Coturnix japonica: one gene and its partner. The protein of the gene in region 1 interacts with the protein of each later gene in a biochemical or structural test. Links are inferred from orthologs where the notes say so. Each region holds a gene or a part of one and is shown in the gene's direction. Other genes may lie near its edges.

Evidence for each region.
Region 2: the proteins of TNKS2 (region 1) and LNPEP form a complex in vitro, tested with the Homo sapiens proteins (4 studies listed by BioGRID and IntAct, with this or other methods). The link is inferred for Coturnix japonica from reciprocal best matches to the Homo sapiens genes TNKS2 and LNPEP.

Annotation. Positions count from the first base shown.
Region 1 is NC_029521.1:17,311,459-17,314,958, forward strand, and holds part of TNKS2 (poly [ADP-ribose] polymerase tankyrase-2), read left to right. Parts: intron 1-153; coding exon 154-340; intron 341-573; coding exon 574-695; intron 696-1,137; coding exon 1,138-1,229; intron 1,230-1,315; coding exon 1,316-1,394; intron 1,395-2,435; coding exon 2,436-2,607; intron 2,608-3,275; coding exon 3,276-3,355; intron 3,356-3,500. UniProt on the Homo sapiens protein: Poly-ADP-ribosyltransferase involved in various processes such as Wnt signaling pathway, telomere length and vesicle trafficking.
Region 2 is NC_029547.1:45,767,852-45,770,907, reverse strand, and holds part of LNPEP (leucyl-cystinyl aminopeptidase), read left to right. Parts: intron 1-757; coding exon 758-889; 3' UTR 890-3,056. UniProt on the Homo sapiens protein: Release of an N-terminal amino acid, cleaves before cysteine, leucine as well as other amino acids. Degrades peptide hormones such as oxytocin, vasopressin and angiotensin III, and plays a role in maintaining homeostasis during pregnancy.

The DNA of each region.
Region 1 (3,500 bases):
AATATGCTGTAATATTGAATGTGAAAATTTGGAGAATGACTTGGATGCCATTTCCATACTAGCTTTAATTTTTATTTGAACAGTCTACTGCATTGGCAAGCCCTTTTCTAGAAATCTGGTTTTGATATTGTATCCTTTTTCCTCCTTTTCAAGCATGGAGCGTGTGTGAATGCAATGGATCTGTGGCAGTTCACTCCTCTGCACGAAGCAGCTTCTAAGAACAGGGTGGAAGTATGTTCTCTTTTGTTAAGTTATGGTGCTGACCCAACACTGTTGAACTGTCACAACAAAAGCACCATTGATTTGGCTCCAACGCCCCAATTAAAAGAACGATTAGCATGTGAGTATAAAATGAGATCAGTTCTTCAGTTTTAGATCACACTGTATGTTTAGGTTACCTGGACAGTGACCCAGTGGAAGTTGAATGCACCTGTGACTCTAGCAGGGGAAGAAGCCCCTTGAATTTCCTATCAGGAAATAAAATGATTGCTTTCCTCTAACTGAAAGAATCAATCTTATCGATCCTTCTAGTGCTAAAGAATGTAAAGTTCTCGTATGTCTTTCTCTTTAAAGATGAATTCAAAGGTCACTCACTGCTACAAGCTGCAAGAGAATCAGATGTTGCTCGTATAAAGAAACATCTTTCTTTGGAGACAGTTAACTTCAAGCATCCTCAAACACACGAGACTGCACTGGTAACATTTCTGAATTTCTTAAATGTGACTGACTAAATGTAGTAGGCAATAGTTGAGGACTCAGTTGCATTGTTAAACAGCATAGTTGTGTAATTCAGATCAGTGTTAAGCATAAAAAAAATAAATTGTTTAAGAGTAATGTTCAGACCAATACAAATTACCTCTTTTACTTAGGTTGTGTAAATTCTCTTCTATAGAATGCACTAATTTTGAGTATTAGCAAGTTACGTGTGTTAGCTTTGTAAAGCGTAGAATCTTCTGAGAGAATTTGGGAAAATACCAGAATGAATCTGAAGAGTTCATCTGGAACTTCTTAAGTTAATACGTTTTTTTGTGTATTTCTTTTTATGCTGACTCTGCACACGACCAGCTCTTAATAAGTAATAAAACCTTGTGTTGCTAACTGGTTATTAATGCTAATGGTTGTTAATGTTTTTTCTAGCACTGTGCTGCTGCATCTCCTTATCCTAAGAGAAAACAAGTATGTGAGTTGCTGCTGAGGAAAGGTGCTAACATTAACGAAAAGACAAAAGAGTGAGTTGCAAGTGAATCCTCCTAAATGTTTGTTCAGAAGATTTTGCAAAATGCCTTCTAAACTATATATATTTTTTTCTTTAAAGCTTCTTGACTCCTCTGCACGTGGCATCAGAAAAAGCTCATAATGATGTTGTTGAAGTAGTTGTGAAACATGAAGCTAAGGTATGAGCTAATATTTGTACTTTTCTTGTTGTTTAATTTCTGTTCTCTTTTCTTGTCACATGAATGGAGAGCAGAGTAAACACTTGGCTAAATTTGTTTTGGAAGTTATAGACATATACTCTTAAGACAGAGTGTCAATCCAGCAGTACACTTACAACTTTAAGACGTTGTCTTTGGTTGGTTTTATAGAGTGTGCAGTCATAATTCTTTATAGTGATAATTAAAAATGTGGAAGATCTTATTACGTGCTGTATTATCAAGAAGGATTTATACTCTGTTTAAAAAAAAGAAAAGATAGGAGGTGCATGAAGAAGAGGTTAGTCTGAATTGTGAAGCAGGTATACTGTTGTGTGCAGTAAAAATTACAGTGAAAGCAGAATGTTAAATCAGTACAGTGCTTTGACCCAAATTTCCAGAGAAAGAGAACGTAGAAAGAAGATGCTCTGTAATTTTGGGCTTGGGTTGCTCCAAAATGGTATTTTAAGTTCTTCATTGTGGAAACTTGGAAGTGGCCTTTGGATGTGGACTGCTGTAAAGTTTACAAAGTGATAATCAAAGCCAGTGGAACAGTAGGAAGTACAGATAACCTTTGGGTACAGAATTTTGAATGTTGGTTGCCTTGACTGAAACGTTATAAAGCCCTAAATCTGAAAGACTACAATAAGCCAATATAGATGCAAGTGACTTTACACACTGGCACAAAAGTTGCTTGCTTCATAGTGAAAATTACAGACTACTTCTATGTGTGGTAAAACTGCTGTAACTATTTGTTCACACGTGTTCATGCACGTGGGATTATTCCGGTAATTCTAACAGGAGTCTATTCTTCCTCTATAAATGCAGTTCTAACCTTATGAACAGCTATTGTTCATCTTATCTTTTGAAATGCCGTGACCTTTGAAAATATGCTGAATGTTATTCTAATCAGTGTAGAAAGAATACTTGTGAAACACTCCCAGCCAGCAGTGAAAATAGCTTTAAGTGTTTTGATGTTTTTATTTCTTTTAAGATTATATTCTAAAGATTCTGTTTTATCTTTAGGTTAATGCATTGGATAACCTTGGCCAGACTTCTCTTCACAGAGCAGCACATTGTGGTCACCTCCAGACTTGCAGGTTGCTGTTGAGTTCTGGATGTGATCCTTCCATCGTGTCTCTGCAGGGCTTTACAGCCTTACAAATGGGGAATGAAAGTGTGCAACAGCTACTGCAAGGTACAGCTGATTTATTCAAGATGGATTTAGGAAGTAACGTGATAGCAAATTTTACTTGGTATTTTCAGTTCTGTCAAAGAATAATAGTAAGCACAAACAACAACAAAAAAGTACATCTTACAAAAGGTAAAAGCTGTCTTCAGTTATTCAATTCTTATTCCATAACCAAATGCACATGGAAAGGTCCTGCTTATAGATACGGTTAAATCTCTAGTATTGGTATGCAGACTGTTGGAGCTGCTCAGAATGTTAAATGGTATAACCACCTGGAACCATTTTGTGTAAGTCCTGATATACAGAAGGGAGGGTACAGACTTGTAAGTGGAAAATGGGTTTAAAAAGAAAAAATGTAGAATTTATTGAGTAAGGTTTAGATACTATATGTGTAAGTAAGATTCTTCAGACTAGTCTGATTCTGAAACTTTGATTGGTTTCACAGCACTTTAAAATTGGTAGGAATCATGTTCCTGTAGGCAACTTTTTAAACACTTGTTGAGCTAATAGCTACAGCTGTACATAAAAAAAATACAAAACCTGTCTGTTATTGCTTTTTCCATTAAATCCTTGACTTCCTTTAAATTCCTGAAATACAGAAATTATTTCCTATCCTAAATTATTTCAGCTGTGTACAATTAATCATCTGCCATACAATGTCATTTCTTTTGCAGAAGGAATCCCTCTAGGTAATTCAGATGCTGATAGACAATTGTTGGAGGCTGCGAAGGCTGGTGATGTGGATACTGTAAAAGTAAGCTTAATCCTGTCCCAAAAATAAGTGGGAATTACATGCCAGACTGTCATTTCTCAGAAAAGACAAACAAATGAATAGCTTTTCTCACTGCTTTCTGTGAAGTTATGATTTGCTCTAATACCTTTCTATTGTGCAAAAACTA
Region 2 (3,056 bases), on another chromosome or scaffold:
CCTGCCATGAACAGGGACAGCACAGCTGGATCAGGCTGCCCAGGGCCTTAATCCAGCCTCCCCTTGAAAGTCTCCATCCACCACAACACTGCGTAACCTGTGCCAGTGCCTTACTGTTCTCACTGCAAAAGATTTTTTCCTTAAATCTAACCTAAATGTATCCTTCCTGAGTTTGAAGCCATTTCCCGTTGTTCTGTCGCCACAGTCCCTGCTAAAGTGTTTGTCCCCTTCTTTCCTGTGGCTTCCCTTTAGACACTTAAAGGCCTCTATTAGGTCACCTCACGTCCTTCTCTTCTCCAAGCTGAACAGCCCCAGTTCTCAGCCTATCCTCAAACCAGAGGCTTTGGTCTAGACTTTGTGAATAATCTGTGCTTTTCTTTTCTGTGGAACGTGTTCAGGGCCTTAAAGATTGCTGTACATTATTTTAGCTGTCAGCAATTCCAAAAAGCTGTTTTGGATGTTCAGTATCCAGTTAATGCTCATTAGAAATCTCAGAGTCTTTCCTAACAAGGCCCTGAAGTTCATCTGTTAAGAGTGGTTTAAGGTTTGGTCTGATGTTTTCCTTCAGAAAACTGGGACAGGGGTAGCTGCCTGTGATTTGAGTGGTAGAATTTCAGGTGTAACCATTGATTGATAGGTATAATACTGAGCAGGAATGGAAGGTCAATCTGACATGTATGTAGCCTTTGCTTCTGGACCTATTTGTTTGGCCAGCATTGATTTTAATTAAGACTCTTTCTTTTCTCTTGTTATGCAGGTGAAGACATTTTTTGAGTCAAAATCAGAAGAGAGCTCTAAACTGCGTTGTGTAAAAGAGGCGATTGACACAATTCAACTTAATATCCAGTGGATGGAGACGAACTTAGCAAAGCTACAAGAATGGCTGTAGTGCACTTAATGTTATAGTGTGCCAGCCAATAGGAAATCTGTGGACATCTGCTCCATTTCTTTTGCAAAAGCCAGGATGAAACCAGGCATCGCTGCAACATTGTTTGCACTATTAGAGAGTCTAGATAGCTCAGGGCATGTCTCACATAAAATTTGGTTTCCCTTGAAGCGTTTGTGTGCAGGATTAAATATTTATTCTGAAGCCATTTTCATCTGTAGACCAAACATCTCCGTGAGTGATGATACATCATTTTTTATATTTGAAGCTTACACCCTTAATTTGGAATCATGTTCCAGTTTCTCATCAGTGGAATTAATAATTATTTTTAAATGTAAAAATAAAGGTAGCTTCCACAGAAATTACAGAATCTGATGTACAACAGAGTCATACTCAAGATATCCATTAGTGGACTGAACCATTAACTGATGTTGCTGTGTTATTTGTGAGCAACTGCACAAAAGAACCATTGGAAGTGGCTGGAGGGTAGTTCATCTGTTAAAGTGACTACTGATTTCTCCACTTTTGACTGTTTAGTTTTCATTTCATCACTTGTTTCTGAGGTTCTGTAGTTAGTCAGCGTGTGTCAGCCACTTCATTAGGATAACTTTTTTTTTTCCCTTGCTTGTTACTTCCTATATACCTATATTGCAGGACAAATTGTGTATGCTGTTTCTTGTTTTTTCAACACAGTTCTAGGAATCTTCTCATTTAGTGCTTAATGGTTTCTTCTTACACTGTTGTGAAAAACCTGGTGAGACAAATCTGCAAATTCTTTAAAAGAAGGGGATCTAAAAGCAGAGATGTACCACATTGGAAAGGCAAAGTACCAGTTGTGCATTCTGTCTGCCAATCAGAAGCAGTGAAAAAGGCCATTTTTGAGGCTTCGTATATCCATACAACACATAGAAGATTAAGCGTACTTGTTTATGTGGAGATGTGATGATGTTTTTGAATGTTCCATTTCACTACTAATGCACCTTCTGTGGATTCTTGCAAACAGATTCACCTGTTGTCTTATTACAAGCCAATTACACGATCAGTTGTAAACTGCTGTGAAAGCGTTAACAGAAGTTGAATTGTTTGAACTAAATAAATTTAATCTACCAGTAAATTCTGAAGAAGGTGACACTTAGAATGTCACAGGTAATTCAGACTGAAGGCTTTGATTTATGAAATTGCAGCCTTGCCTGTACAGTTAATTCGCAGAAATGATAAGCTACGATAAACTTAAACCATGCTGTATTTTTCCCATCCTTTCAGTATGGGAAGTGCTTTCCTAGAAAAGAAGTTTCTCATTTTTTCTCATCAGCTCACATTAAAAATAACATTTGCAGTTCTAATCGTGAAGTTATCAGAAACAATGTTAGCTTTGAGAGTGTACAAATGGATGTTTGCCCAAGAGGCCCAGAAATGAACAGTTTTCACAGGTACTTCAGAAGGACTTGGTGGTGTAAGCACTGAAAGTAGGTCATAACATCCTGTTTCCATGCAAGTTATGCAATTAGAATTGTAATCAACTACGTTCTTTCGTGTTTTATTAGCCAGCTGTCACATCTTCTGGTTTTATTTCTGCATCTTATTTAAACCTCTGTGCTCTTTGCATAAATATTATCTCCATATTTGTATATTTGTGTGTACATAGTTATCAGTTTTGTTTTGCAGTCCCTTCTCAGTGTTAAATGCTTTCACTTTTCTATCCTCTCAGACTTGTTTTTCTTCAGCTCTGACTGGTACTGAGGCATATATAATTTTAGATGGAAACTGTGGAGGAAGATCCCCTCTTCTTCCTGACTTCTGCTGTAGGATTTTTTAACATTTTGTTCAGACGCTTTACTGATAGCTAGCTCTTTGCAAGGAAACTGCATGTGCAGCTCATCTTCAGAATGTGAACTGTACTAAGGAAGTCTGGAAGATCAGAGAGATTTTGGAGGAATTTCTGAATATTTTTTTCATTTTACTATTCTTTGGGGGTTTTTTGTTTTGTTTTTTATTTTATTTTATTTTTTTTAATTAAGCAATACTTTCACTATGCCATTTTTAGAGGACTTGATATTCTTTTATGTCATGTAATCTATAACTTCATTAAAAGTTGTACTGGAGTCTTTCAAGTGAAGTTCTTAAAAATGATCCTCTCTTTTTGAGATTATTGGGAACTGATGAGGGTTAG